3 linked regions of the Nothobranchius furzeri genome follow. The protein of the gene in region 3 purifies or fractionates together with the protein of the main gene of each other region. This does not show direct contact. Links are inferred from orthologs where the notes say so. Each region holds a gene or a part of one and is shown on either strand. Other genes may lie near its edges.

Region 1 (11,352 bases), on a different chromosome or scaffold from region 3:
ATGTTTTGGTTTCATTCCTAAAGGTTCAAATGAAGACAGCTGGACTTCTTTAGTTTCTTGAAGATGTCTCGCTTCTCATCTGAGGAGCTTTATGGGAGAGTCTAGCTTATCAGCTGAAGCTGTGCAGCTGATAAGCTAGACTCCAGTTAGAACCAACAAAGCTCCTTGGATGAGAAGCGAGGCGTCTTCAAGAAACTAAAGAAGTCCAGCTGTCTTCATTTGAACCTTTTGGTTTACCATGACCTGGATGACTGAGAACCTTCACCAGCATTCCTAAAGGTGAGGATTGTCGTGATCCAATCTGGGTCTGGATCCACAAACCTGCTCCTCGTTTTGTTTTTCACCGGTCCTTCCTCTTCCTCCTCTCCTCTCCAGAGGAGTAAAGGAGAGTAACGACGTGGTTTTGCAGCAATAGGGACTGCATTAATGAAGCTCCTGCTACAGTTTAAAGCTTCTTATTTCACCTTTTTGTTTAAATTGAGAAAACCTGCCAGAGAAATCGAGAAGGGGGCAGCTGCACGGGGCTGGTGTTGCAGAAGCCAGTGAACCAGCAGGTGCTGGAGGCGTTAGTCTCTTCTAGGAATGTTTACGAAAATAAAAACAAACATTCCTCTACACAAGCCTCCCAACGTTAGAGCAACACTCAGATTTGAGCTTATAAGCCGCAGAGTCTGAGAACCCGTTCAAATCCATAAGAGCTGCTCCACAGCTGCCAGATGAAACAGGAAGTTCTCGGTGGCCGGAGGGAAGTGATGCCGCTTCAGGGCTTCCAGGGTGATCCTGGAGTCGTCGCACTCTTCGGCCAGAGCAGCCAGGTTGTTCAGGACTTCTTTAGTCTTGACGGAAATGTCCTGCGAACGAGAGTTTGTTTGTTTTTATTCGATTTAGGAGGGCTTCTGTGCCGAGTGAGGCATTAGAGGAGCTCCCACCTTGATGACCTGACCATCCGACTTGTCGGGATCCTCCGCAGACTGGACGATGACCTGAGCGATGTCCTTGTGCAGCTTCCCCATGGCCATGGCCTCTGTGAGGGAATGCCAGGAATCAATCTGAGAAGATTCAAGCCCGTTGCGTTCTCGTGGAGCCTACCGTACCTTTGGCACTCTGGGACACGGTGATGACTCTGTCTGGGAGGTTCACAAACACATCAAACAAGTCCAATCTGTTGCTCACTTCTGCATCTACGAATCCCGCTACGTACCCTGCGGAGAAGAAGGTAAGCACGTCGGCTGATAAATAATTCATTCAGCCACCATTAAAGGACAGCACAGATGGCAGCAGATCACAGTTAGCAAATGTTTCCTGTTAATTAGCTAAAGCAGCTGGCCGCCTCACCAGGGCATTTCTTCAAATCCTCCAGCTCGGCGTGGGTCAGGTGGACGTACGGGTGCAGGATGGACCAGTCTTTCCTGTGCCATGTCAGAGCAGGAAGAGCTCTGCTCAGAGAGAAGAGGAAGAGTTAAGAACCAGACGCTCCTCGCCTCGAGCGGGGGTTAAAGTCCAGGATTCACCTCGTAAACTCCAACAAGGCTTCGATTCGAGGATGAAAGACCACCATCCTCTTCTTCAGCATCAGGGCGGTGTACAAGATGATGGTCTCCACGCCAAACTGAGACACCACGTCTGAAACCAGAGCGGGAGAACGGCGCATTACAGCTTTCTGTCGGCTTTCTTTTGATTTTTAGAATCAAGTAATATTGTTTTTTTTTTAATTCTGGTAAAATTCTGGAGCTAAACTCTAATTTCTGCCTAAAATTCATTCTACAATCCCAAAAGTAGATTAGAGATCATTTTATGATTATGTAAACTACGACCGAACGTTTAATGTACAAACAACAGAAATGTTGAAGCTGCTGCCACTGCCTCATTAGGGTCACCATGGTAACTGCACATCTGTAGTTTGGTGAATCGTTATCGGTCTCGTGTGGTGACTGTGTGTGTAGCGGACGAACCCTCCGCACCGTCACTCGTACGAAAGCGCTGAACTGAAGCCCAGTGGGCGGTTCCCCCCACCGCCATCTTAGCCACGTCACGCGTCTCATCTCAGGAAATACAAAAATGGAGCTGAGAGCGGGGCCGTGAGCATGGGGGCTGATGACTGACACCCATTAACTCATTCACTGCCAAGGACGACTAAAGTCGCCATTTGCATTTTTTTACTGTGTGGTCGTCGGACGAGCCCCCGCACCTCAGCTCTGAAGCCGATCTTCATCCGCGTACGTCACACGTCACGTGATCAGGAAGCAGAACATCCATGTGTTAGGAGATCGTTTTGGGCCGCTGCTGTAATAAAAAGTGAGGCGCGAACCGGAAAAGCTTCTGCCGATCACAATTCAACAACGGATTATGAAAGAACGGATAACGCTCCAAACGCGCGGATTCTTCCTGATGTAAGAGGTGAGTCTCCGCTTTGTTTTGGTTGTTTTGTCGTTGACATCATCCTAGTGCGCAACGTTCTGTGACTCTTAAAAAACAGCAAAAGCGGCGAGAAACGCTGGCAGCGAATGAGTTAAGCTCAGAGCCAATGTAGCTACAAGCTAACTGAAGCTAACAGGGGCGGGTGTGTCTTTAGCCAGGAAATAACATTTGAGCGACTCTGCTACCTTCTAGGCTGTAACACTTGTAACGCGAGGCTGCGGCTGAGGCCTACCCTGGAGCAGAGAAGGGCGAGTTGCTGCCACTGACAGCTCATCTACTACCTGTCAATCTAAAGGACACGCCCCTAATTATTCATAATTTCAAGCTTTAATCACATCTAAACAGATGAGTTACAAAGAGATTCACCCCCCTCAGAGTTATCATGATGATAAACTAGATCTATTAAACCTAAAATGATTTTAAACCAAACTGTAAATATGTTTATTCTGCTGTGAAGTTGGTATTTTTTTAACATGGGAGTCAATGGGAACGGTCTCCTTTCTGGAGCCAGCCCCTGGTGGATGAGAGTGGAACTGCAGTGTGTGTGTGTGTGTGTGTGTGTGTGTCTGTGTGTGTGTGTGTGTGTGTGTGTGTGTGTGTGTGTGTGCGCGTGCAGAAGGTCTGATGGGAGGTAAAGAACTGACAGAAACGACAACAACAACTGCTTCTGAGCACATCAGGTATTTAAACTGGTACCAGTGGGGCTCTAACAGTAACTGGTGGAAGGTGCGAGGTCTCACCTTTAACTGAACCTGCCAGGTAGGCCTTTTGGACGTCGTAGTCCTTGATGAGGAAGGAGCCGTTTTCGTCGCTCTGACAGATGCCGTTGGTGAGGACGGTGATGTAGGCCTCCATCATCTTCACTGGGCTGCCATGTTTCAGGTACATCCTGGAGAACAGCAGGTAAACGCTGACCAGACGTTTCATTTAGACCGCTAAGCACAGATCGTGGTCACGAAAAACATCTTCACCTGCAGAGAACTTTATTAAGAGCGGCGTACTTCTCAGGGTTGAAGTCTTTTGCTGTTAAAGCTACTGAAAAGTCTGTGACCTGTGGGGAGAAGAAGTAGATATTTTATGTTCCCGGTATAGAGAAGCTACGTGCTCCTCCCTCCATACCTTGGTGAGAGCCGTGGGCTCCTGCACCTCCACCGTGGTGATGTAGTACCAGCTGCGTCTGAACTGACCGAACACAAACGTGTGAAAATCACAGCCATCCTGAGTCAGGCAGCTTTTGCTGAGCAGCACCTGCCTGAGCTCCGGGCTCACAGACGGGTAGCACCACACCCACAGCACGTCTTTATTCACATCTTTCTCTGGTGGAGGAAACAGAACATCAAGATCAACCTGAGCATGTCAGATGGTAATGTTTGCAACCATCAGGGACAGATCCAGGGTCAAAGTTCAAGAGCTGCAGAGCTGCTCAACCCCCTGCCTGAGGGAAAGAGGGCGACTGATAAACAGAGAGAGAGAGATCTGGCTTCTTCATCTGTCAAAAAGATGGGGAGGAGGAGGAGGAATTAAGGTAAGAAGAGAGGGAGGGGAGAGGTGGGGAAGGATCAAAAGATGGGAGGGAGTGATAATAGAGCCATTTATGTCGTCACAATTCTTTAAACCACAGAATATTTCCTACTCTGACAGAAATATTGTGATGTTTCCAGGCGTGTTACACCTAAAAGTAAATCCAACAGGTGAGATATTAGCCACTCATAACCTTTCTACATATTAAAGCTTAAAAATATCTGAACTGTTCCTTTAATGTTGGCAAACCATCCCAGTGACTGTAAAGTCTGTGTCCACCAGCGCCCCCTGCTGGTCAAAACGAACACACCTGCATTTGATGCAGAACTCGGTTGTAATCTAATTTTCTTGTGCTCATGTCATGTTTACAATGTTCCTCGTTCTTTATCCTTCAGAGAAGCTCCTCTCCCTCTGCGTGTTCACACGATGATGGGAATGACGAAACCTCTTCCGTCTGCCACACTGATGTCATGTGATTCTCCTCCAAGTCAACCTTCGCTGAAACAAGTTTCACAAACATCATCCACATCCGATCTGACAGCTCGGACTTACCGAATAACCCGATGCTCAACATAAACTGCGTCCCAGTCGTTGCTGTCATGTTCCATATAGAAGTTAGCTGGAGAGAAAACACCAACTATCGTCCTCTCTGCTCAGAAAAATCTGTCAGAAGTACATTAGGAGCTCGTCCAATGCTAAAATAGAAGCTGCATTGATTCCAAAAAACTGACCAATTAAATCTGGATGATTGTTTTGGGTAAAAATTAAGCTGCTGTGCAACAGACTTTCGTGTCTGTGTGGAACGTATTCTCATTTCCGGGATCAACGAATGTGAAGGCGGAGCTTCGATTCTCTGCCAATTACAATGGTACTGTGACGGTGCGTTCGTGGTAATTGGAATTATGTTAAATCTCCAAGTAAAAGATACTGGCAATAATTTGTTAAATATTTAACAGTGACGCGATCAACATTGAGCTATTATATTCAAACAAAAATTCATAACTAAGATAATCTGAACAGAATACAGCTTGTGTTTTCCTATGATGCACCGTTATAACACCGATTTAAGTTTTATTTTGATGTTATTGAACGCATCACCAAAAGGAGCATCCCCGCTCCAACTCACATGGGATGCCAGGTTGGCTTAAAAACCCTCCGTTTTGAACGTGTTTAATTGAAAAGCTCTATTAATTATTTGTTTTTGTTTTGATATACCAAAATGACACTATAGTATAATAAATTTATGTCTTTAATTTAAATAAATGTATTGTCTAGATGTGGGAGTTTATGAATAACGTGCTATAGTTAAAATGTATAACTTATAACATTCGTTTGAAATTTTGCTTTTGAAATGTTTGTAAACAAAAAAAAATTAATCAAAGTGTGTATTATACACAGTGTACGCCTTTAGCTATTAACACACATGTTAATGTTTAATTTTTACTTTTCTTCATCATGGTGTCCTGCTGTAAGGAGGTCGCATCTGGCAACCCTAGCCTGGACGTTCACGAGGTTCTTCCTTTCTCGGCTAGCGTCGTTGCTGTGACTGCGTGGTTCGGATGAACTGGTGAAATTCGTCGAAATTGTAATCAAGTCACTCAATTTTGAGTTTCAGTAGAGCTGCAACAACATGCCGGCGTATTTTCAGCGGCCAGAGAATGCTCTGAAACGAGCGAACGGTGAGTAGATCCCCGGCTTCGTGTGACAGATGAGATGGATTCATGCTAGCTAGCTTTAGCCTGGTAGCTTGACGTTAGCGGCTACTTGGCCGTTAGTAGGTGTTGTGCTGAAAATGGCACCCAGCGCTTTTCCAAGCACGGAAAGCGCATAGAAAGTTGTTAACATTGCAACATGCGCGTGAAACTCGTAACCAACAATCTGCCCTGTGTATTTTACGTTCTCTACATTAATTATGTCTTTTACAAATGTAGTTACAATTTTACTGTTTTTCCAAAGCGTGAAACTTGGAAAAGCTCCATATTCTTTACATCTTCCGACTGATTAATTTAACCTAAGTTGTCATTCATTAATGCACAAATCGTTTAGATAATTTGGAAAAACCGTCACCCGTCGCGCTTTGACTAGTCCGAAGGCAAGTGCGCCTTTTGCCAAAGAGGTGCCTCTTTCGACACAACACCGGTTAAAGCGGGGATACCGAGTCGCTGCGTTCCGCTTACAGCCTGTGTAGCTAACTAGCAAGGCCACATTTGTGCTACTGATTGATGCTAATAAATCAGCCCTACAACCATAATGACATTAAACTGAGGCTGTCTGGGTTTTCAAGTGCTAATCATGGCGCACACATGTTAATCATGGCAGCTACGTTAGGTCTAGTTAAGCGTTGGAGTGGGCTTTCTGTGCTCTGACAAGTTCCTCCCTGAAATGTGTTAACACAGAGTTTCTGGAGGTGGGCAAAAAGCAGCCAGCCTTGGATGTTTTGTACGATGTCATCAAGAGTAAGAAACATCGAACATGGCAGAAGATCCACGAACCCATCATGCTCAAGTATTTGGAGCTCTGCGTGGATCTGCGCAAGAGCCACCTGGCCAAAGAGGGCCTCTACCAGTACAAAAACATCTGTCAGCAGGTGTGTAAGAAGAATAAATGTCGTGTTTGTTCACAGCTTGTTGTTTACACCGGAATATTCCTGATTATGTGTCCTCTTTTCCGTCAGGTGAACATCAAGTCTTTGGAGGATGTAGTCAGGGCGTACCTAAAGCTGGCAGAAGAAAAGACTGAGACGGCCAAGGAAGAGTCCCAGCAGATGGTTTTGGACATCGAGGACTTGGACAACATCCAGACACCAGAAAGGTGAAACGGCTGGCTTCTTTTAAAACGATTTTTCTAATAACTCCAGTAGAAAAGCTGTATTTGTGATGCACCCATATGAAATTTTAGGGCCAATAGCGATGCTGATATATTGTCCATCGCTATTGATCACAGTAAATATATATTTTAATTCTGTGATGATAGTGTCCTTCTGAGTGCCGTCAGTGGGGAGGACACTCAGGATCGTACTGATCGCCTGCTGCTCACGCCGTGGGTGAAATTCCTGTGGGAGTCTTACCGCCAGTGCCTGGATCTGCTGAGGAACAACTCCAAAGTGGAGCGTCTGTACCACGACATCGCTCAGCAAGGTAACTGGACACGTGTGTGTGGAGGGAAAAGCAATCCCAGACCTGCCAACCTGTACACATTTTGCGTAGCCAGTACGCAATTTGGCATCTATTTACGCTGGTACGACTCACCCCTCTAAACTACGCAAAAAGCTGCGGATACGCGAGTTGAGTTCTGTGGCAAATATGCACATGTGGTACTCATGTCTGACAACACGACTCAGCTGCGTGGTGAAGAAGTTTAAGCCAATCATCGTAGAGAAGCAGAGAAAAAACAGAGCTAACTGCCTAGCCTATAGCGTAACACCCCCGCCCCCCCTCCTCCCTGCTTCGTCCTGCCCGCTGCTCCTCTCTCCCTCCGGTTCGCCACTCGCTGCTGTTCTGGTAAGGTAAACTGTGTGTGTGTGTGTGTCAGCGGGTCGGACCGGCCGTCTTTTGGTGAATGTGAACGCGTAACGTTACTTTCACTGTTGAACTTTCAAGCCGAAATCTGAGTGAAAAAAAAATAATAAATCTGCGACTAAAGAGCCAGAGGCAGCTGTGTGTGTGTGTGTGTGTGTGTGTGTGTGTGTGTGTGTGTGTGTGTAATTTTCCATCTAGTGAATGGGGAGATTACAGCGTGAAAAGCAACGGAGTTGCAAAAGTCCGCGAAAAAAACGCCGCACAAGTGGTACTCAAAAAAATTTTGACAAGATTGGCAGGTCTGCCATCCAAAAGGAAAGAAGATGCCCACTCAGTCTCATTTATTATGAGAGTTCAGTGTTTCCCCTAGGAATTTTTCCAGCTGTGGCGGTGGGGCCGGCCAGGGGGGGGCTTGGGGAGAAATTATGACACGTCTCTAAATAAAGTAAAATTTTCCAGTGCAGATTGGAGACAACCCATAGAAGCACTGATTTGATCTCATTTCAGAGAAAAATAGAACAGGTTAGATGCACCTAATAAATAAAATTACTAACAAACTCAGGAATCTTTCTTTGCTTCTCTGTTCTGGTGCTGAAAACATCACTCATGCGGATCAAAGGAGATACACAGATGAATGCACCTCTTATTTATTATTTGGAGACTACATTTACTGCAGCTGGCAGAGGCAGAGATTGTTTCTATTGATACACAAATTTACAGAATCATTTTAAATGTTAATAGGGGAAAACTGCAGGAGGGAGCGGTAAAATACAGGGGGTCCCCAGCAAAAACAAGAAACTTTACGAGTCTGATGAAACCCGCTGGTTTTCCATCAGGCAGTCGACGGGGCAGCTCCAACGACCCAGTGGCTGTGCTGGGTCAATGTTATCAAGCTCAGTCGAGGCGACGTCGTGCTCTGCCTAAGAAGAGGTGTTATTTTCCCGCTTCAGAAGAAGCATCCAAAGTGTTTTTACGCTTTCTCCGAGACATGTCACGTCGCTAAGTTGTTAGCGCGCGGCGCTAACACGTCAATAGTGCAGCGTAGCCTGCTGGAGGTTTTAAGGGTTCAGATGAAACACCCGACCTCTCAGGCTGCTCAAACATCGATATTAAGTTGTCGCTGTTGTGCTCACGCCGTAATACAGTATTAGATGCGGTTAAAGTCAGACATGAAAAAATAAATAAATTTTACATAAATAAGTGATGCTTAGCCTGGTGGGGGGAGGAGAACCTGGCCTAATAAGCACTGGAGGAAACCCTGTCAAGATCGTCAACACTCGTTTATCTTAATGCTGTTGAAACATGTAAACCACAAAGCATTAAGTTCACTGCTACCTTTCTAATTTTAAACTCCGTAACTTATGCTGTAACTTCACCTTGCCCTGCCTGCTCCTTGCTGCCGCCGGCTGTGATCACCAGCGACAACATAGTAGTTCCCGCTGCTTGTTCGGGAAACAGCGCAAAAAAAAAACTTGGGATCTTGTAGGCGTGGAGGTGGGATTTCAGCCGCGGCGGACCGCCACGGCTACGCCTATGTAAGGGAATCCCTGAGAGTTATTGTCAGAGGTGAAAGGCTGTGAGAATTATCAGGTTAAACTGGTGCATTTTCTACCTGAACACCAGAGAGCAGGTTACTGTAAAATATGTCTGACACCAAACGTACATTTTGACTAGAGAGCTTTATTATGTGTGGCCCTTATGTTTATTGGCCCTGTTTAGTTTAGTTTTCAGGTTAAAGCGGGTTCGACAGGATTGGCTGCAGCTGAGCGAAAACCATGCAGAGTTAACATTTGTCGTCGTCTTCTTCTGCAGCTTTTAAATTCTGCCTCCAGTACACCCGCAAAGCAGAGTTCCGTAAGCTGTGTGACAACCTCCGCATGCATCTGGGTCAGATCCAGCGACACCACAACCAGAGCACCGCCATCAATCTGAACAACCCCGAGAGCCAGTCCATGCACCTGGAGACGCGTCTGGTGCAGCTGGACAGCGCCATAAGCATGGAGCTCTGGCAGGTCGGCTCGGATGCTCATTTTTTTTAACTGGATCTAATTCTGTTGGTTTATTAATAATAAAACTGTTGCACTGATCATTAACGACCAGTAATGTCACCTGCATTAGTAGGTGGATCCTTCTGAAGTTTAAAAACAATTAGCCGATGTTGATTCCTGGCACTTTGTTTTGGTGTCACCAGGAAGCTTTTAAGGCTGTTGAGGATATCCACGGCCTGTTTGCCCTCTCCAAGAAGCCTCCAAAACCTCAGCTCATGGCCAACTACTACAATAAAGTGTCTACTGTCTTCTGGAAGTCTGGAAACGCTCTTTTTCACGCCTGCACCCTGCACCGCCTCTATCACCTGTCCAGGGATATGCGCAAGAATCTGACCCACGATGAGATGCAGCGGTATCCTGTTCTCTAACTTTAACCCTGCAAAATCAAAACAGGGATATAACCTCTGTCTTTGACCTTCAGGATGTCCACCAGAGTCCTCCTGGCTACTCTGTGTATCCCCATCACCCCTGAGCGTACGGACATCGCCCGGCTGCTGGACATGGACGGCATCATTGTGGAGAAACACCGCCGGCTGGCCACGCTCCTCGGGCTTCAGTCCCCTCCGACGCGCCAGAGCCTCATCAATGACATGGTGAGGAATCTGAAGCTTGGAGCATATATTTAGTTCCTCTGAGGTTTAATAGGTGCTTCAGTTTAACTTTTCATGCTTGTCACAAAAATCTGAAACAATCAAACTTGGATATGTGTTGAATCTTTAAAGACAAAGTTTATTTATTGTTCCCGTGTGAATGTTTCAGGTGAGATTTAACCTGCTGCAGTACGTGGTGCCTGAAGTGAAGGAGCTCTACAACTGGCTGGAGGTCGACTTTCATCCTCTGAAGTTGAGCGGAAGAGTCACCAAGGTGATCATTGCAGTCATGAAGCTGCAATGGCAGCACGTAGCACTGCTAGTGAACTGTTGCTGCATCTCATGACGTCGTCTCCCATCAGGTGCTGAACTGGGTGAGAGATCAGGCTGAGAAGGAGTCTGATCTGCAGCAGTACGTCCCTCACCTGCAGAGCAACACCATCCTCCGGCTGCTGCAGCAGGTAGAAACTCTTCTTCAATAAGACCTGCCAATAACTGGGTGGTGGTTGTCATTCGTGTTCTTGTATTATTATTATTTATTTCAGGTGGCTCAGATCTACCAGAGCATCGAGTTCAGCCGTTTGGCCTCCCTAGTGCCGTTTGTGGACGCCTTCCAGCTGGAGCGCTCCATCGTGGACGCCGCGCGGCACTGTGACCTCCAGGTGGGATCAAATCTAACGAGATATTTTAAATGTCTGAGTCTGACTCGGGTGCTACCATAGCAACAGGCAGGGATGGCTTCAGTGTTGTTTGCTCTGTAGGTTCGAATCGACCACTCGTCTCGCACTCTGAGCTTCGGCTCGGACCTGAACTACTCCACCAAAGAGGATTCTCCAGTGGGCCCGTTCCTGCAGAACATGCCGTCGGAGCAGATCAGGAATCAGCTGACGGCCATGTCTGCGTCTTTGGCTAAAGCCATCCAGATCATCAAACCCACGTCCATTCTGGTCCGTTCACATATGAAACACAAAGGGTTTGACAACCCTGTAAAGCTGGGATTCTTGTGTATTATTTAGCAGTTTTCATCTTTATTTGTGATTTTTTGTCATTTTTCAGCAAGAACGGGACGAGCAGAATCAGCAAGCTATCGCTGCGTATCTGAAAAACGCCCGGAAGGATCACCAGCGCATCCTGGCTCGCCGGCAGACCATCGAAGAGCGAAAAGAGCGCCTGGAGAGCTTAAACATCCAGCGCGAGAAGGAGGAGCTAGAGCTGAGGGAGGCTGAGATGCAGAAGGTTCGCAAAGCCGAGGAGGAG
Region 2 (10,120 bases), on a different chromosome or scaffold from region 3:
AGAACATCACAAAACAGATAGAAAAAGTCAACATAACAGAGTCACTGGCCAAACACCAAGTCATAAAAGTGAGTCGATTTGTGATTTAAAAATTGCAAAGGACAATGCCTGTCTAACTGAGAGAGGAAGTACCTTCCAGAGCACAGCCCCCACCCCCCACCCCCACCCACCCACCCATGCTTTATAATTCATGTTTGGTATGCACAGTAACAAAAGATCAGCCAACCTCAGTGAGTGTCCGGGTACACAATGAGTGAGCAGATTCGACAAAAAGGAGGGTGCAAGACCAGTCAAAGCCTTAAAGCGACAGTGTGTATTTTTCCTGGCAATAGGGGGCAGTAGATACCTAAATTATTGCAAGCATGAAGTATTTTTGTGTTGGAGTAAGACCACATCAACGGATGCCCATTAGGGTCAAAACGCCCTGGGGAGTGCAAACTTAAGCTAAATGATGAGCACATCAGACTCTCTTTCATCAATGGCAACAAGTAAAGAGGTAAATGTGTAAACAACAACATTTAAGAATGACAAGTTTTCTAACCATTTGTTACAAATCAGTAAATGTATTTTGTCCTCATGGGCTGCCATAGAAGGAAACATGGCATCTAATATGGCATCACCCAGAGACTTAGACCTGCTCCCATGTATTTTAGACCTGATTTTTGTGGTTATGCGATACGAAGCCCCCAATATTTTTCAACAACATTTTGATGGATATTTCCAGGAATTAATGGTAAAAACTACACATAGTCTCTTTAAACAAAAAGCAGTACCTAAAACCCCACTCTAAAACCTACGGGAAGCCAATAGAGACACGCTAGAAGGAGAGTGATATGACTGTGCCTATTTGTGTTAGTCAGGAACCTAGCTGCAGTGTTCTCTACAGTCTGCAGCAAGATCTATCTGCCAGGTAGGAGCGGAACCAGTCAAGAGTAGTGCCAAAGACCAAGCCAGGACTCAAGTAAATCCAACAGAACACGATGGTCAACCGTACCAAAACCCGCTGAACGATCTAAGAACAGCAGAAGTAAAGATGCGGTCTGAATGCAGATTGAAACACAACTAATAATAAATTTCAATCCATGTGGGCTATAATTCATTTTCAAATGAAAGTGTTTGGTCCTAAACTGTTTTGGGATTCTCCAAGGAAGTTCTAACAGAGATTATCAGAAAACTACAAGAGAGGGAAAAGTCCCCAAATTTCAAAAATGTTCTCATAACATGAATTTGTGATCATTGCAGTTTTGCTGCTGTTTATTAACACACACACACACACACACACACACACACACACACACACACACACACACACACACACACACACACAAACACACACACACACACACACACACACACACACACACACACACACACACACACACACACACACACACACACACACACCTTTTTGTTTTTGTTCTCAAGACTATTCTGTCTCTCATGCTTTAACATGTCACATTGTGCTTATTTTATTTTATCTGTAGTGTCTTTATACTTCTTGTGAACTGAACTAAGTCTGAAATAAAGATTACTTGATTTGATGCTAAAACAGAATCTTTATGATTGTTTATTCAGTTATTTTCCCATGCTGAAATCTCCTCACCTAAGTGATTCAAAGCACATATGTTCCTACTTAAATTAAATTCTGTTAGGTCATTTACTTTAGGTAGCATCTTGCTTTGTTAGCTGTGTGTTTGAGGAATGTTTGGCAGTATAAATATTTTCTGCAGGATATGTTTTGGGCAATTTGAAGGAAAACCAGAATTTCCTCTGACATTTATTCAGCTGAGTAATTACTGTAGAGTTTTGCTCTACAATAAGTTTAGGGGATGAGCATCAGTTTAGTCATTTCAGCTTAAAATATTTCATCACAATCAAGTGGATTTACTGAGATTAAACTGGTGCATTGTATTTATGTAGCTCTGATAGGCCAAGTCAATCTTTAACTGTTATTTATTTTTAATAAACATATTTGCCATCATTGCATATGGTTATGAGAAGTTATCATCTGGGTCAAAACGGTGATCATTATTAATGTTCTGAAGCAGCATAATAACCGCACGATGTGCTTGGCTGCTTTGAGGGGGACCGTGGGAACCCCGCAGGCTCCGGCCGGGGCGCTCAGCTGTCACGGAGATGTGAACAAGCAGGGAGGTGGAGGGGGGATGGAGGCTCCGGACCAGGGCACCAGGGAGGATTCACACCCCTCTGTTGTCTGTCCCACATAACATCTGCTGTCGGCCGGGGGGAAATGACGTCTAAAAAATAACGGGATAAGATCCAGCCGAGCCAGGGAAGAACGTGATTTCACTGACAAAATTATTATTTTTCTATTTTTTTCAGCGTGGAAAGCCAAACTCCTGGCTTACAAGAGTCTGTTTGGTGGAAATGTAAATCCTTAACTCACTTTTTTTCCTACTGCCACGCGTTAAGCACAAACGCTCGCGAGCGCAGACACGCGCACAAGAAAAACATAAGCGCGTGAACTTTAGCTATAAATAAGTTCAACACGTGTATTCTTTTGTAGCTTTTTCTCAGGCTTCTAGATCACAGGTTTAGTTTATCTCTGAAGTAATTCATCACCCTGACCTTTCCGCGGAAACGGACTTCTCCCATTTCACCGACCGTCCCTCATCCGAGTGGTCGGTGTCGGTTTTCTCTCTAGTGCAGACGACGCCATGAAAGGCGAGTCCATCTGCTTTCACCCACCTTTGATCCTCCGTATCAAGATGATGCGTCCCCGAGGGGCCACACAAAGCCCAGTTGTGTTCCGTTCGTGCCCCCTTTGCACCGGGAGCATCACATAACAGTAACGTTCGTTAGACAACTCGTCCGTCTGGAGGTTAAAAAAATAACGAAAACTAACAAACGTGATGAAATGAGTTTTTATCTCACCCTGCGTTTGTTATCCATGGTTCCGTTCAGTCGGTTCACTCGGTGTTCCAGCTCTCCATCTGTCCGTCTACCGGTGATGAGACCGGGTGGGCTCCTCTTTGATTTAAAATCTCGCGAGATTTAAAAACCCATCCGCCGAACACTCGAGATTTTCTCTTCTCTGGCTTGTTTTACCTTTACAGATTATTTCGGATATTTTTGACCTTGTAATTATTGAAAGAATACTACTCCAGTTTTGCCTTTCTTTGTGAACTACTTCACACAATATTTTAAGTCTCTGGAATAATTAAGAAAACTGCCACGATTTATCAAAAATATTGCAGATTCCTTGTTTTAAATATGCCTTGCCATATAGCACAAAAAAGTGCCATATTGTTGTTTTTGTCCTGCTCGTTTGTAAAAAAAAAAAAAAAAAACCGACTCACTCTTTCTGTACCAGAAACTGTTATAACAAGTTCAGACCTGTTTTGTAAAATGTATTTAAAAAAAAAAAAACCTTTGCAGAATAATGACGCCATTTAATGGGCAATAAATTACTCCGAACTTTAAACAAGAGTTGCTTTTTGTTTAGGCTACATGATCAGTTTGAGCTACATTATTTAAAGGAAAATCTCATTTATACTTAATACTACAAATATACTACTTGAGCAATACCAGAGTTGAATGTGTCCCTTACAGTACGCTGCTGTTCTGGAACCCAAGTTTTTAATTTACTTTGCAATAATAGCACCCACTATGTGTATATACATGTACCTTCTCCAAATATTTATGCAAATGTGCCCCAAAAAAATCACTGCAAGTCATTTAAACTGATTAATATTATTGCATTTATTCAATAAACACCCAGTTTGAATTATGCAGCTATCATCATGAAAATACAATTAAATACAAAACCTTAAAATAATTTTAACTGTTTGATCCACTAACAAAAGCAGCAAATAAGCTTTGGTAGCTTTTTTGTGAGTTATGCTTTAGAAAACCTTTAAGTATAGCTTTGACTGTGAGATGACATCGCTAAACTCCAGCTCATGTCCAAGCTACTTGTTAGGCCTATCGGGAACTATACTAGATTAGTTTGCCGCCTATTTGTCCAAGTATTTCATCTCTTTGGCAAGTTTTGGTTCTTCCCCACCTCCCTTGCTCATGGGGTTCCACAAGGTTATGTGCTGGAGTCAATACTGTTCCTCCTTTATCTGCTACCCCTTCAGCACTCTGAGGTCCTTTTAAGGAATCTCCTACCATCCTCATGTAAATGACACCCAACTGCACATCCTCTTTAAACCCCATGAGATGTCCAAGCTGCAGCTGTCACACATCTGCTCACTCCATTAAAATCTGGATGGCTGGTAACTTTCTACAGCTGAATGAAGACTGAGATCCTAATCTGTGCCCCAGACAAGCTGGTTCTCAGAGACTGTCAGCTTGTTTCTCACACCAAACCCTGTCTGGAATCCTGGTGACCTTTGACCCAGCTCTTACTTTGGACTACCATGTCAGTTCTCTAGATCGCTCTTCCTTCTTTCACCTCAGGGACATTGCTAAACTTAGCCCTAATCTGAATTTGTTATCCACAGATTCATTCAAAAACCCTTTGTTGCATTTTGACAAATTTTAATAAAACAGGACAAAACTTGTTTAAGACACAAAAACAGAACAGAGGAGTACTTGTGTTAGAATGTTTATTTAAAGTTATTCCCACTGCGCACCCCCTCCCTGTGTGAAAGCCTAATCTGAAAGGAGGAGGATACAGGCCACTATAACGCCACATCAGCACATTTGTTGACAAGGCTACTGGTTTTGACTCAACACCTTCCTCATGCACTGGTTTGACACTCTGTGCTGCGCTGTAGCAACACACCAGCATGATGAGGCCTGTTCAGAATCAATCCCAGGAGGAAGAAGGTCCACTAAGATAGGGCTGAGAGTTTTGACTCCAACCAATGTTTAAAAATGAAGGCAGTTTTACTAAATTTCCAGTTCCACAAAGAAGAAAATGGCAATTGTGAGGCAGAGAAATAATTTGGATAGCTTCTCTTTTTCCTCAATGTGGCTGCTGATCCACAAGACGTTGATTTGATGATGCCACTAAAAGAAAACCTGAGGCTCGAGACGAACCCAACGTTTGTCACAGTGAGGCCGTCGTCCTTCTCCAGTCAGTGACACCGCTCCTATCCTCTCCTTCCACACAACAACAGATGGACTAAAGGAAGATCAGAGTAGCACCAAATCACACCATTGATACAGACACCAAGTGCAAAGCAACTAATTATAATAGAAAGAAAATGGGCTGTTCCAGTTATTCCAGCATAACACTGGACCAAAACACCAGTGGCCATGTTTGTTACACGTATCAAGTGTTACCTGCGTAGCGGACTACAGATCTCCGAGGGGAATGATTTCTTCGTTGATAAAAAACTCAATGGTCTCCTCCTCCCAGTCGTCCACGTTGCTGTCAAGCTCATCAGTGTCCACTCCTGGAAGACCAAACCATCCAAATGTTAAAATGAAGCACAGAGGTCATCGAGGTCGAGCTTGTAAAAGCAGAGCCCCACCTCCTCTGAGCTCAAGGCGGAGGTTCTTCTGTTCTTGATAGTTCTGCAGCGCCGCCTCCCTGTAGTTACGGTACTCCTCCATCATGGCTCTGCGCTTGTCCACCAGCTCCTACGCTCACAAACACACATTTGTATGACTTCAGCAGTGAAGAAAATTAAGTGTCGGCAGACTCAAGCTTTCAAAGATGAAGGAGATAACATGAATGTACAGATCTGTACTTCAATGAAGAGTAAAATGTCAAAAAGGAGGAACAGGTCAAACCTTTGAAGCCTTGGACTGGCTCAGACGATCCTTCTGCTCAAAGATCTTTGAGTATTTCTTAAGATCCTTTTTGATCATCTGCAAGGGAAAACACAAGTTAATTAGGACTGTTCTAAAACAAGGAGGTTGAAATGTCATGTCAAGTATTTATGAGCCTCAGATCAGAAATAGAATCAGGAGCTGGAGTGCAGCTCTCATACGAGGTGTCAGAAAGTTTTTATCTGTCATCACCGGCTCCAGACACACATTTTACAGGCAAACTGGTACCTTAATCTGATCTATGCTGAGCAGAGTGGGAGGTCTGGGCCTCCAGAGCAGCTGACAGAACCGGTCCTTGTTGTTCTTCTGGAGGAGACGGCCCTGGAAGGTCCATAGCCAGTACGCGTTGTCCACCTAGACAAATGAGTCCAAAAGAAGGGATGAGTTTAAACAGAAGAGAAGAGCGAGTGAGTTTGTGGAAGCAGGACACACCTTGTGGCTCCACCAGGAGACGGAGGTAACGACGTATCGGCCGGTCGGGTCCCATTCTACGTCAGAGGCCATGTAGTGCTCTGCTATGTTCATCAAGGTGCAGTCAGAGGTATCCACGAAGGCTAGAGCGCCGTTCATACTGAACACAGAGGCAAAACAAAGACTTGGTACTGGGGCAGGTGCAAGAGGTGAAAGGTGAAAGAAAAGATACAAGCCTCAGAACAGCATTAGAATCAGGAGCAAAGCTCTCATATGAGGTGTCAGAAAATAAAGTTTATCATCAGCGGCTTTTGAGAGAAAACACACACACACACACACACACACACACACACACCCTACCTTCTGAGTCCAGCCAGCACCATAAACTGTCCCTGGGGGCTCCAGAAAATGCTGTTTGCCTGCTGTTTGTCAAACATTTCTGTAAAAATAATAAAAATTACAAGAGGGAGTAAAGACACTAAAAAAACGACTTTCGCTCATCTGCCCAACCAACTGACTTATGAGCTCGATCTTCCCGTTGTTTTTGACGTGATAGAAGGAAGCGTTGATTCTGGGAGACTCTCCGTGGAGAACAGCAAACTTGCTGCCGTTGGGCTCCCAGGCAAATGCGATGATGCTTTCTAAGAAGACAGGACACGAACGGATCGCATTAGATTACTTCTATAAAATAAAACGGTCAAAAATAGATGCAAAAATGCTTCTTTTTTTTGCTCTCACCCTTCATCTCCACGACATCTACAGGAACCTGCTTCTCTCTCATTCGGAAGATTTCAAAGTTGGTGACAACACCCTGGAACCGAACAGAGATGGGCCTTTTATCGTAAATCCAATAAGATATAAAGACAGTCTATCTCTGGCTGCATACCTGAGTTCCTTTGGGAGTCCTGTCCACTTTCACACACAGATAATCTCCATTTCGCTGCCAGTGCAGTTTGCAGTCAACTACATTGAAGAGATTACGAACTCTGATCTCTTGACGAGACGGCATCTGCATCAGGGTGACTCTAGCTGGGATGTCTTTGTCCTCTGGTACCCAGAACGCTATGATGTTGTCACCAGGAGACCATGAGAAGTCCCTGTGGAAAGACCAAACAAACTCGAGATTCACATCAATATAACAATAAAAGTGTAATAAGCAACAATTCATAACGAGATTAAAAACTCTTACTTGATGCCATTAATTTTGAGACTCTTCTTGTCCAACAGGCCCATTGACTGAAGGGAAAAAACACACCTTTAAAATTAGGGTTGGGCATCATTTGATTTTGAACGATTCTGATTCCAATTCCAATTCCTCGATTCAATTTCGGTTCCTATTGATTCCTGATTCGGATTCTTTCCAGACAGTCCATGTTTTCCATGAGCCAGCTAACCACAGGTCCTACTCGATGAAATAATCTTAACTTCAACATGAATTTTAACTCTATGAACAACAACACCTTCATTTAGACAAAAACATGTTTTGGAGAAAAAAGAAAAACACTTGCAGCACAACCAGTGTGTTTGTTTCTGACCACAACCAAAGTCTGGAGGAAGCCTCTGGGATGAGAGGCTGAATGTCTCCAACATATCCAGAAACGTCCAGCTGTTTTCAGCTAAAAATCTCAGGATGATCATGTCCAGGATGACTGAGAGCTACACCTCCATGCTGCTGCAGCATTCAGTCAGAACAGGAAGTGGAACTTAAATGTAGCTGCTGTCAGTAACAACCTAACAGATTTTAAACATAAAACTCAACAGAAATAGTTCAGAAAGGAAATTAAAATGTTCACAACATTGTGTGTGATTTATTATAGTTATTTATTGTGGCTGGTGTGGTCCACCACAGAGAAGCTGCTCTAGCATGACTTTAATTATTCTACAGGTTATTGTTCAGCCTTCTGACACACACACACACACACACAAACACGCGCATACACACACACGAGTGTTGGTGAGTGGCTGCGTCTGACTGCTGACGCTCCGTGTGTGTTTTTATTTCTGCAGTGAGACAAACTCACCTCACACCATCCAGAGTTTGTTCTTTAAAGCTTCTATTAAATCCACCGTGTTGACGTATTTTAACACGTTTCCTCTACGCTGCAGGAGGTAAAGTTTACGTTACGGAGTAAAAGTTCGGCAGAGGCGTTTGTTTATATTTGGCCGCTGCGTGCAGGGTGGGTGAGGGGAGGAGACTCGGTGCTGCACACAGACAGCTGGTGTGATCAGCTCTGAAAAGCGTTGATCACAGATTGCAGATCACGTTTATTTTTCACGGAGATCAGCCGCGGATTCCTCTTCCGGTCGGCATTCTAGGAATCAAAACTAGGAATCGAAATAAAAAACTTTGAACGATTCCGGGAAAAACTAACAGTTGAAACCGGTTCCAATCGATGCTCGATACCCAACCCTATTTAAAATCATAACTATTATAACTATATATATCATATTTCATTAAAAAAATGGTGCTTCTTAATTTACTTACTGGAGTTTCGTAGATGCTTAACGTGTCTGTGCTCATCCTAGCAAAGAACTTCCCATCATGGCTCCACCTGAGAGAAATCCTGTCCAGTTAAAACACACCCAAACATAAATCTGCATTTAAAATTAAAGAGAAAGAACAAAAGTAGTGTTCTGACTTAAATATGGGCCAGTGTGCCGAGCTCTCGCAGTGGAAGCCTCTCTTCTTCTGTCCAGTCAGAATGTCCCAGATGATGATAGCCTGTGGGTCCTCTTTGGTGTCCATCAGTGGACTGAAGGTGACAACATACCTGCAGGAACCAACAGCACGTTTTATAAAACTCAGTAAAATCAGTTTGGCTAATGCTACCTACAAAGCATGGTTTGTGTTTATCTTTAATGTTTTATTTCCAAGTCACTATAACTAACAAACAGGATCTGCTAAATCACTTTTTCATATTTTATTGATCATATTTTCTATTAAAAGTGTATGCTGATGTGATTCCCCGCCGGAAGAAACATTAACTGCAATAACATAAAAATAAAGATCACTTCTACAAGAAACTAGGCAGTTTTGGCTCGCTTTTAGCACCCCCTAGTGTTTGTAGAACCGAAAGCAAAACTTATCGTCTCGCTGTGCGTTCGTTCTTTTAACACCTTAATCCAACAGCTGAAATGTCTCCCCAGCTTTCATTAGAGTTTATAGGAGTGATCCATCACTAAATTAAACAAATAATCTGTGATCATTAGGGCTGGGCGATATGGACAAAAACTTATATCTCGATATTTTTTAGCTGAATTCCGATATACGATATATATCTCGATATTTTTCCTCCTGTAAAATATTTACAAGTTAACTCACTTCAAGCTGTCTTGACAAATTATAAACATAAATCAGTAGATTAAATGCATAAAAATGTACTGATTCTTGTCAAACTCTAACCTTAGTGCCTACTCTCTACCAGTCTGTGCTTTAGAAACACTGGTACAGCTGTCAGTTAACAAACACACACACACACACACACACACTTGAGAGCTGGAGGTGTATCAAATGTCCCACAGGCACTTTTTATTTATATATATTTATAATTAATGTACAATTAGTCATCTAGAGGTGGCCCATATCGTATATTTATTGCCCAGAGAAAAAAAATCTATCATGTTAAACTAGATGTATGATGATGTAATTGCATCTACTGGGTCACGCACAGTGGAGTTATTAGTTATGAGGGCAAACATGGCTGCAATCTAACAGTATTGACTCATATCAGCGATTATACTGTAGTGACTCAGTCTCTGGTTGCTCTTTTATGGGGAGGATTTGCATGCTATTGTCGCTGTAACCCACACCTTACAAACTCTGAACTTTTTCAACTGAATCGCTCGTAATGGAGTATTTACTAGCATAGCTAACCAGAGCGGAAAAAAATCAGAACAAAATTTCTCACCCGCTGAGCTCGCCTTCAAAATAAAACATTAACCCTATAGTTTACTATTCTAC
Region 3 (10,604 bases):
GACGTGGTGGCAGATCCGTTGGCTCGACTGGTCTATTGTTTTTATTACATGGTCTACCCGAACACTCGACTGTCCTCTTGTGTGTCTTGTTGGCTTGTGTAACAATAACTGTGGCATTTTATGTTGCAAAGAATGAAGTCAGAACAGAAGCAAATGACATGCACGATGTAGGCTTCGACAGTCTTTACACAACAGGACACAAAAGCAGCAAAAATGTTTACGGGAAGGGTTTAAAAAAAATTTAATTTCAGAGTCGGGAATGGATTTTACATTTCAAAAATTAAAAAGATCCCACTCTTCTCGAGTGTGATTAGAGCAACAATGCTTTCCTAAGAATAAAATGTTTTTTAAGTCCATAATTGTTTTTTTTTTGAATAAAACTGTTGATGTGACGACAGAATACAGTCCTAACACATGAATGAATGTGTTGTAATGTTCTGTTTTTCTTGCAGTCCACAGTAAGGTTGGTGTTCAGCGCTTACTGACAGGACTTACCCTTTCCAGATCCTCTTTCATCTGCAGAACTCGAGGAACTAAAAGACAAAAGTACAAAAACAAATGAAAACGTGCATTTTATAAAAACAGACTCTTTTCTGAGCATCGCATTCATAACGCTCAGCGACCATCCGCTCCATTCTCACCTAAACTTGGGGGGGGTCGAACCCCCTGGTGAGACTGGAGAGGCTGGCTGTCGCGGGTCGCCATCAACGGAGCCTGTGCTCACCGCACTTCTCTTGGCCCACACGTTCTCCTTAGGAGGAGGAGCAGGCATCACTTTCAGAGGCTCCTTTGAGGAGCTGGTGGAGGGGGGCAGCGGTGAGGAACCAGGAGAGGAACTCTCTTCTCTCCCAGAGAAAACTTCATTGTCCCCAGGGCGCTCGCTGTCTCGACACCTTGATCCTGGTGGATGAGACGGTTTGGATTCAGAAGAGGAAACCTCTAAAGTTAAGCTACAAGAGCTCTTTAATCAGCATTTAAAAGTGTGGTTCACTAATGTAGTCATTAGCAGTGGTCTGTAGTAGGACGCCTTGTAAGTCATACTCAGGAGGTGGGGTGGTGGTGGGGGGTATACACCGGTACACTAGGCTTGGGCAATATTACAGCAATAACGTATACAGCCGGTGTTTAAAAATACCAGTTCCATTACCATCATGACAAAGCAGTCCAGATAGGAGACACGATGAAAAAGACAGATAAATAAGTCCTTTAATGTTTAGAGGATGCATGGTTAAATTTTCAGTTTTTAGTTTCAAACATTTTGTTCAACTTTTGGAGACATTCCAGAAAGTTTATGAACATGTCATCCCGTCACAGCACCGAAGAGACACACCGAGCAAGAAAAAATGGCAGGTTGCACACCAACCGACTTGGTGTAAAAAAAAAAACTTCTGCTGTTTGTGAGCATTTCAAAGCAAACAAACACTGATGAGGTCATTTGTGCAAACAAAAGATGATTGCGAAAGGCGCATGCAACGTCTGCACAGGAGGGAGCCGGAGTTTAAAAAAGCAGCCGCCTGTTTGAATCCTGTTATTAAAAAAGGTGACAATTCACTTTTCTGGTGGAAATATGCTGCCAGTCTTTCCCAGATGTCACGGCTAGACCCAAAGCACCCGTGTGTCTGCGCTACACACTCATCTAAGTGGGTTTTTAGAACAAAGAAGTCGATCCACAACATCCTACGTTGAAGCTAGAAAAGGTAAACATGCTGGTTTTTTAGGCGTAAAATTATAAGCTGATTATATTAAGATGAAAATGTGACCCAAAGTAATACATGTGACAGGCCCATCTAGTGGACAACTTTTGTTTCTGCGCATACCTTTAGTTATCGTCCATTTATCGTTATCGAGGTGAAACCTTGAATATATCGTGATATTGATTTTAGGCCACATCACCCAGCCCAGGGGGTCGGCAACCCGCGGCTCTTCCATCCATCTGATGCGGCTCTCTGTGCTTGTAAAATAATGAATGGATATTTAAATGAAATGCTTTATATTTTACTGAATTAATTTTACATCTGTGTGCCAATTCTAAATGTAAAGATTGTCTGCGTAAACCTGAACAGTTCCAACCCGGTCTTACTGTGAGACCGGGTTGACGCGTCACGCTTGTGCGTAATCATATCGGCGCTTTCTGAGCTGAAGTGGACGTGAGATTCTGGGCTTCTCCTCAGATGGCTCCTGGATGTGTCGCCACATTGGAGACAGGAACAAGCACTATTCAGCCAAAGTTCCATTATCAGGGAACATTTTCTAAGTGACAAGTCTCGCTTCAGTGGGAGGAATCTTCCTGCAAGCGCTCTGGTTCTGCGAGGCGCTCCAAGCCCCTCTCCACATCTTCAGCTCGCTGTGCACCATACGTATGCGCTGACAGCGAGCTGCGCTGAGCAGTGTCCAGCTCAGATGTTCAGATGGGAATCTTTTCTTGAGTGATTTAGCTACATCTGCGATGTGCATAATGAATATAATGTCAGTTTGTCTGCATGCGTCGGGGTAATGCTTTCTATTCTTTCTCCGTCAAAATAAACGGTCAAATACGGGAACTGTCCGGTCAACACAAGCCCTGCTTTTAACTGTTCTGTTTTCTTGTGAAAATTGTTGCAAAGAGATATAATTTAACTTGATTAACACCAGAGCCAGGCACACTGCGCCGTTATCTCCGTCACTGCAAATGAGGGAAAAACAAACTGATCGGATCCTTTTCTGACCTTCCCCACCTACAAAGTTTAATTACAACAATCAAACGTGACAGATCCTGGATTTGTATTCTGAACAGTCTAAACATGTTTTAAAAAGAAACGTATGACAAAAGTGGCACCTGCTCAGTAAAACCACCAACAGGGTGAAAAATATCAAAATATTGTAGGCAGAGACGGGCTACAACTTCTGGATCCATTTTATATAAATCGTTTTATTGATTATCGTCTTATGAAAGATAACTGACGTACACGAGCGACCGGTACTGGCTACTGTCACCTGTTGTGATTGGTTAAAGCAGCTCTCTGCTGTCTGAGGGTAGGCCCCGCCCACAACGCCGCGGCTGCTGTGGCTCCCAGAGTTTTCTTTACTGTGGGAAACGGGTAATAATAGGGCTGGGGGTAAACGATTATTTTTAAAACGATTATTCTGACGATTATTTTATCGAATAGTCGACTATTCTAATGACTATTTAGAAAATTAATCTAAAGATTATTTTTCTATTGCACAATTAACAAAAACCAGAAAATCTCAAATAAATTCCTCAAAAAAATTGATAAATTCTTACTGTAAGAGAATAAACACTACAGGCCTTCCATTTTGTATAACACTGCGTTTATTGTGTTGGTTGGTTATGTTCTGGTGACATGTAGAACTTGGGAGTGCAGGCTGCTGCCTGAGAGGTGGTAGAAGATGGAGTGTCTCCATGCTGCTTTGTTTTGGTCACTTATGTGCGTGAGGCGAGTGGTCTTACGGGTTAAACCAAACTCAGGTGATATTTTAAACTAAACCGAAAACCCACAACACTCTAAATGTAATAAAAGGGAGATCTACACCACAAAAAAGATGAACTCTAAACCAAAACGTAACAGCTTATCCCAACGCAAGAAGCTGTTAGCGAAGATGCTAACAGTAGCTTTACCAACATTAAGTCCAAGTTACCAAGTTTAAATAAACCAAAAACACCCGGCAGCAAACAGACCAGCATGGAGGAGAGACTGCTACCACCAAAACAGCTCTCCTCATGTCTGAAAGAAGCTCCTTAATGAAGGGAGAAGCGCTCCCGGTGATTTTCTACATCTGCGGTAGACACGAAGCAGCGCATCTGACCCCGGAAGTTGTTGTCCGTTGCCGGGAGACGAAGGGGCAAAACAGGAAAATAATCTAGTAGTGGACGGACATTGTTCCGAGTCTTCGGTATTTGGCGGAGATGTTAGTGAAGGCGGAGAAGAGGGCGAACTAGAGGAAAAACAGGCAGATTCCTCCTCTATTTACAAACTCCTGGGGATGCAACAAGTGGGCGCGGTGCGTCGACTTCCGGATCTGACGTCGACAAATTTTTAGAATCGAGCCGTCGACTTCGTCGAGGCTTCGCTACAGCCCTAGGTAATAATGGCTCTTTAATGGGAACAGGTAGCCGACCCCTGACCCAGCTCTATGACATCTCGTCTACCACTGATTTACAACACTGATCTTTTTATCACAAGCCGGGAGGAAACAATGATTACTGCCTATTCTCAAATCTGCAAAGCTCACTGGAAGGACACAGACCGAGGACAATATTTTCCTGGTATAGGGTTTATTACTCAAGAAAGGGTAAAAAAAGTATCTGATTAGAAGGCTACTTGAGTACCGAGTGTCATCTGATCTAATATTTTTAGAATGATGACATCAAACAGACAAAAAATAAGAAGTTATGGGCAAATATTTATATTGTAAAGACTAAAGGGGAAAAATGTAAACAAATAAACAACATAATTACAAAATAACAAATTTTAGGCTAAATCTAGACACAAACTGAGGAAAATATTTTCCTGACATACAGGGTTTATTTAGTTGTCTGAAAATGTAACACGTTTAAAAAATACCGCGATAATACCGAAAACCGTGATAATTTTGGTCACAATAACCGGGAGGTTAAATTTTCACACCGTGACAACCCTATGGTGGAGTTGCTAATGCTAACAGTTAGCTTCTGCTAGCTAAGACGTTCTCTACCGTTTCCTGGACGCTAAAACAAGAACAGCCTTCCTTGTCGTGAGTCAAGATGGGTGAGTCCATGTGTGACGTAGATCTGTCAGGCTTTTCTAATCATCAGGAGATAGGTGTAGGAGACTATTTTCATGTTCAGCCTGCACGAAAAACTCAAGAGTGACCGATTATAATCAGGAATAATCATTTAAAAAAATGTTTTTTCAGTGAACCACACCTTTAAGGGAATGTTTATGTAAAACAGTAAAGAACATGTTTTTATTCTGAATGCAGGTTTGGTCAGAAACAAACCGAGCAGCATTTTACCTCTTCCTTGCTGTGAAGATTCACTTCCTGTGCGGGATCGTTCACCATAAGTTTCCTCATTACGCCAGCTAGGGTCCCTGAAAACAACAACCGTTTACTTCTCAAAACATTGGATATTGTTTTAGCTTCAAAGCAGAACTAAAGTTGGTACAACACTTTTATTAAATCAAAAAACTCGCTGGAAACCAGTACAAAACTGTCAATTATTTCACTGCACTTTTACTTGTAACGAAATAACTTGCTGTCGAGTGACAGATTGCTACATACTTGATGACAACCTGACATGTTTAATCACAAACTCCAGCAAAAATCCTAAGCAGATGTTTTAGAGACACATGTTTTGGCATAAAAAGCAGAAAAACAGTCATCTCTGACCTGTCCCTCATCTTTCTTTCAGGTCCTCTGGTTTTGTCCTCTTCTAGCTGCCTCTGCAGCCTTTCTTCTTCTTTCTTCAGCCTTTCCTCCACCTCTCTTTCCTTGGCCGCTGTGTCAACTGGTTTTGCTCCCCCAAATATGGAGGAGGCCCTGCTGCCGGAGCTGGGGGCGACGGCTGGAGATGTGCTCCCGCTGCTGCCGGTACCTTCCTCCTCCTTCGGTACGCTGCGGGGCTTCAAGTTCAGCTTGGGTCTTTGCTGAGGAGCTTGAGGGAAAATGTGGAGGTAACGAAACCAGATTAGAAGGACTGAACGCTGCAGAGACCCGGTCTGAAGAAACAATCATGTAGTCAGATTTAAAAAAACAAAACAAAAAAAAACTTACCTCTCTCCTCCCGTCGCTCATACCGGTCCTCCCGGTCCCCATAATGATCCCGCTCACCGTAACGATCGCTGCTCCCCCGACCATCCTCGTAATCTCGGCGGAAGCCGCTACCAAAGGCACGACGACTTCCTCCACCACGAGAGTCGTAGCCTGAAATGAAAAATTAGGGCCGATAAGAAACAGGGAAACCTGAAAACATCCTGCTGGAAAAAGAAAACCTGAGAAAAACAGGAAGTCAGGAGAAAACCAACACACGTCTAAACCAGCTCACCCCCTTGACTGAAGTCCCTGCGGTCCTTGTTGTCGTAGCGATCCCTACGGTCCCTGTCATCATAGCGCTCCCTGTCATCATAGCGATCCTTACGGTCCCTGTCGTCATAGCGATCCCGGTAGCGGTCTCTCCCACTGTCATAGCGATCATTATCTCGCCGCGGGCCATCTCTGTAACGATCGGACTCGTAGCGGTCCCGTGATTCTGCAAACAGCCGACAAGTATTCCATCAGATGAAAACTAGAGAGGATCTTAGATGAGTAAAACAGGATTTTCTCATCAGGTTCAAGCAGGAATATCTGAACGGAAACAAAGATCAAACAAAACCTCTGGACTTACTTTCTCCAAACGGATCATCTCTCCTTGGAGGTCCGTCATCAGCGTCTGCACTGGGTCGAGCCCTCCAGTCACTGTCCGTCTTGTCAGGACCCATGTCTGCCATGCGTCCACCCCTGTCCCTGCCTCCCATGGACCCACCGTCTCGTTCTATGATGGAAAGATGAAATGTGTTTTACTGTAACAGTGGCAGAGTTGTTAAGTGTGCACTCTGTAATCAGAAGGTTGCAGGTTCGAACACCGATCAGTCTGTTGCTGTCATTGTGTCCTTGGGCAAAACACTCGACTCGCGCTGCCTGCAGGTGGTGATCGGAGGGACTGGTGGCGCCAGTGCTCAGCAGCCTCGCCTTTGTCCCTGTGCCACAGGGCAGCTGTGGCTACAGTGTAGCTCATCACCACCAGTGTGTGAATGATTGTGTTGTAAAGCACCTTGGGGGGGGGGGGTTCTAGAATTCTAGAAGGCACTCAATCAAACACAGGCCATTTACCATTTTGCATTAGCAGCAACTTTTTTCATTGGCCATACCAATCTAGTTGGGTTGTAAACACTGCTCCTGCTAATAAAGTTGCAGACTTCAACGTAAGACTCCGACTGGGCTGCACACCAGAACCAGCATTACAGAAACCAGTAACACCAGTCTCACACAGTCTCATACAAGATTCTAAAACGTCCCAACTAAAGAAATAAAGTAAGACACCGACACGTGACGAATGTCACATTTTGGCTCCAGAAACTGGACAGTGGGACATTTCATGAAATCTTTTTTCTTGTATTTTTCATGTAATCTTTAATTTAAAAACCACATTTTTTTAGGCTAAAAGCAGCAGCCGACACGCACCTTTATCGTTAGATTGGCCTGCAATATCAACACGAATCCTTCGATTCCCCAGGTTCTGTTGACATAAAAAGAAGCTGGTGAACCCTGACTCGTTTATTTAAACAAAAGACTTCAAATATATGAAAATAAAATAAATTCCACAACATAATTTTAAGGCGAGGTATTAGTTATAAGGTTGAGTTAATGTCTGAGATTCACCTCTTCATTCAGGCTGAGGGCACTCAGAAGAGACTCCAGGTCATCAAACTCAGCGTAGCCGAATCCTTTCAGCCTCTCTGGGTTGTTGGGCTCTCGCGGCAGGCGCACTGCACTGATCTGCAGAGAAAGCAGAAGAAAAAAATACCTGAGCCACAGAAACTTGAAAACCTAGTAAACATGAATACAAATATATATATATATATATATATATATATATATATATATATATGTGTGTGTGTGTGTGTGTGTGTGTGTTATGGGATCCTGTCAAAACAGTAAACAGAAGTTTCACAACACATATCCTAAAATAAAAAATGATACCGTTGTAAGATCACGCCAAATTTAAATGCCTGCACGCATTTCACGACCTTGAAAAAGCTTTTATAAACGTAAACAACCACTAGATCACAACCCATGTGTCGATGTGTTTTACACCCCGCTGAAGTAGAGGAACACCTACTGCCAAGCCGCGGAAGAAATCTTTAATGGATTCTTCGGTGACTTCGTAAGGCAGGTTGCCCAGGAAGGCCGTGTAAGGCGGACTGCGGGGCAGTTTGGACCGGTCGATGTTTGGCTCACGAGCAGAGCGCGGGGCCGTGGGCAGGGTGGAGCGGTCGATGGGCGGGGCCCTGTACATATCCTCCTCCGTGTGCCACGATGTCGAGACTGAAGAGACAAGAAGCAGAAGCTCTTTAGAGAAAAGACATCAGGTTTTCATTAAGACCGACTCATCAGAAAGACTTGAAAGCATCTAAATAGGAAAAATTTGGGGATTTCAAAGTGTTCAAAATAATTTAATAAAAAAATATAAATGAATTAAACTTAGATTTTCTAAAAGGTTAGAGTGACGATTAAGGGAGAAACTTTTTCATTTGAAGCTCTTTACATTTTGCTCAGCTGAGTGTTAAAAATCAAAAGTGTCGGCTCAGGTCTTCAAATATTCAAAGTAAATTACAAAATTGTACAACATACAGATAATTAAGAACCAGTAATAAATACAATGTAAAGACACAAATCAGATACATATATTATCTGTCAAATATAACAGAGGTGTAAATAATACTTTGTTATTGCTGATTTGAAGTGACACACTTCGTGTGTCAGACAAAAGAAAAGCAGCTGCTGCAGTTCTTTTATTTTTCCACTTATTGTTAAACTAGAAGCAGCAGCAAAAAAACAACTGCCACAAAACGGAGAACAACACAACATTACAATGTTAATGGTCACTGCAACAATCACAACTCACAGATATTGTCACCATCTTTCCTAGTAAATATAATTATTATTATAATAGAGCCCCCCTCCCAAAAACCTACACATTCACTTTAATGAATCCAAATTATAATTTCATTTTCTGGTTAAATTTTAAATGTGTGACAGAAATAAATCCAGTAAACTATTTTTATGTTCCTGTTCTGGACCATTCTGAGAGGTTTCAATTCTTCCATGTAGAAGAATAGTAAACAAAATTGGGTTATTTTTTATTAGGCTAATTTATATTTGTGTTACAAAGATTACATCCTGCATGCTATTACAATGTCATGTTTAGTAAGACATTAATATCTGGACAATAGTTTCTTTAATTGTAGTAAATTGGGTCAAATATATTGAAAATAGTCATTTTTAGATGGATCTGTGAAGTTTGCATAAACCAAGTAGAATGATAATATGCAAATAATTGGCTCAATGTTGAAATGGACCTCCACACTGGCATGCAATCCTTTTAGTATCAGTGTCTTGTTATAAAATTTGATTTATTGCAAAAATAAAGAGATAAAAATGATTAAAACTATCTTTCCTTATGGTCAAAGCTGCAGAGCCACACGACCCCAGAGCTGCAGATCTGCTTTAGATCCAAAACATCTGAGAGAACGAATGTTGTCAGATTTAAACCTAAGCCGTACTTTAGTTTACAAAACGCAGCAAAGTGATCGTTATCTTCTTGATCAAGTCTTTTTGATGCCATTATTGACACTGAACACTGCACAAACGAACATTTGAAAGGTCACAGCTGAATAAACATCAACCTCACAGAAACGCTGAAAGTGAGATCAGCATTATAAAAGCTAGACCAACTAGTTCCTACAGTTAATGAAACTAAAGAGGTTTCCCCTAAACTCAAAACCTCACCAGCCACTCGTGTGTTTGACCACACATGCTGACTGATTCACCACAGTGCTAAATGTGTTTAGCTCTCAAACACACATTCAAATTATAATTACAAACAATATTTCACTACAACAGTTCCAACGCCTTGAACTCTAACGGTTAACCCATACACACATGGGCACGCACACACATGATGGAGATTTTGCTTTTGCATCAACATTCTGCAGAGTGGATACAAAAACAACTCGTCATGCAGAACCAAGGCATACACACACAAAAGAATCCATTCCTACACGTCTGGCACAGCTGTATTCCATGTTTTCTTTTGTCTGTTCTGAACAGGAAGTGAACTTTGGCGGGCTAAAACTGTAAATGAATCATTTAAATATAAACTTTATTGGGTTTATTGTTTTCTCATTCAGAGCGTTTGAATGGTCGTCAGCTAAATGAACCAGGCTACAATCAATGACTCAATTTGAAATTCACTTTGCATTTGTTTAAACTTTATTCACATACAGTTAAAATGTATTTCAGAGTTCTGCCTCAGATAGACAGATTTCTGTGTTGGTCTCACCATCTCCATCCAAGTCGTCCGTCTCATCAGCCCAGCTGGTAGACTTAGACGGGTAGCTTGGGGCTACATTAGGATTGCCGCCGCTGCCGGCACCGTCTTCGGCCAGAAAGTCATTGAGAGTTAGGGTCTTCCCCTTCTTATTCTTCTTCTTAGCTGGATGAAAGACGCAGAACACAGTTGGCTTTGTTACAACACTAAACACATGAATAAGTGCGTTAAAACAGCAGAAAACGTGAAAGGTAGAGCTGCACAATATATCTTAAATGTATCGTCATCACAATATAAGCATGCACAATACGCATATCGTAAACAGAAAAAATAAATCGCAATGAATGGTCAGCTCAAATGTTTGCTACACATCAAGTATTTTGTCAAACGGAAGCAAGAAGTTAGTGACTAATAAAATAAAGCTCTTCAGCCAGTTGGCCAATCGGGTGGGTTCTCATAAGTTAGATGCCTGCCGCCATCTATCTTATGACATCACTTAATTTGGATGGTTAGCAAACACCGGGAGTTAGCTTCATTC

The links.
Region 1: the proteins of eukaryotic translation initiation factor 4B (region 3) and eif3s10 purify together in Homo sapiens (co-immunoprecipitation; 3 studies listed by BioGRID and IntAct, with this or other methods). This does not show direct contact. The link is inferred for Nothobranchius furzeri from reciprocal best matches to the Homo sapiens genes EIF4B and EIF3A.
Region 2: the proteins of eukaryotic translation initiation factor 4B (region 3) and eif3ba purify together in Homo sapiens (affinity purification with mass spectrometry; 3 studies listed by BioGRID and IntAct, with this or other methods). This does not show direct contact. The link is inferred for Nothobranchius furzeri from reciprocal best matches to the Homo sapiens genes EIF4B and EIF3B.

The regions. Positions count from the first base shown.
Region 1 is NC_091752.1:6,770,468-6,781,819, reverse strand, and holds the start of eif3s10 (eukaryotic translation initiation factor 3 subunit A), read left to right. Parts: upstream 1-5,436; 5' UTR 5,437-5,569; coding exon 5,570-5,618; intron 5,619-6,335; coding exon 6,336-6,526; intron 6,527-6,613; coding exon 6,614-6,750; intron 6,751-6,912; coding exon 6,913-7,076; intron 7,077-9,269; coding exon 9,270-9,469; intron 9,470-9,648; coding exon 9,649-9,857; intron 9,858-9,926; coding exon 9,927-10,098; intron 10,099-10,264; coding exon 10,265-10,369; intron 10,370-10,457; coding exon 10,458-10,556; intron 10,557-10,640; coding exon 10,641-10,757; intron 10,758-10,856; coding exon 10,857-11,042; intron 11,043-11,151; coding exon 11,152-11,352. Other genes in the region: dennd10 (DENN domain-containing protein 10), read right to left, coding at 684-851, 930-1,024, 1,095-1,202, 1,336-1,436, 1,512-1,623, 3,159-3,307, 3,390-3,469, 3,538-3,734 and 1 more. UniProt on the Homo sapiens protein: RNA-binding component of the eukaryotic translation initiation factor 3 (eIF-3) complex, which is required for several steps in the initiation of protein synthesis.
Region 2 is NC_091744.1:16,229,376-16,239,495, forward strand, and holds the end of eif3ba (eukaryotic translation initiation factor 3 subunit B), read right to left. Parts: intron 8,931-10,120; coding exon 8,799-8,930; intron 8,712-8,798; coding exon 8,645-8,711; intron 7,396-8,644; coding exon 7,349-7,395; intron 7,257-7,348; coding exon 7,046-7,256; intron 6,971-7,045; coding exon 6,898-6,970; intron 6,801-6,897; coding exon 6,678-6,800; intron 6,599-6,677; coding exon 6,520-6,598; intron 6,470-6,519; exon of another isoform or gene 6,392-6,469; intron 6,320-6,391; coding exon 6,181-6,319; intron 6,103-6,180; coding exon 5,977-6,102; intron 5,946-5,976; exon of another isoform or gene 5,861-5,945; intron 5,788-5,860; coding exon 5,710-5,787; intron 5,557-5,709; coding exon 5,448-5,556; intron 5,370-5,447; coding exon 5,269-5,369; 3' UTR 5,257-5,268; intron 5,096-5,256; 3' UTR 4,558-5,095; downstream 1-4,557. Other genes in the region: carbohydrate sulfotransferase 12, read right to left, coding at 2,710-2,800.
Region 3 is NC_091743.1:53,284,834-53,295,437, forward strand, and holds part of eukaryotic translation initiation factor 4B, read right to left. Parts: intron 10,232-10,604; coding exon 10,079-10,231; intron 8,062-10,078; coding exon 7,856-8,061; intron 7,513-7,855; coding exon 7,396-7,512; intron 7,253-7,395; coding exon 7,198-7,252; intron 6,509-7,197; coding exon 6,362-6,508; intron 6,227-6,361; coding exon 6,023-6,226; intron 5,902-6,022; coding exon 5,752-5,901; intron 5,633-5,751; coding exon 5,368-5,632; intron 5,070-5,367; coding exon 4,993-5,069; intron 901-4,992; coding exon 642-900; intron 534-641; coding exon 496-533; intron 1-495. UniProt on the Homo sapiens protein: Required for the binding of mRNA to ribosomes. Functions in close association with EIF4-F and EIF4-A. Binds near the 5'-terminal cap of mRNA in presence of EIF-4F and ATP.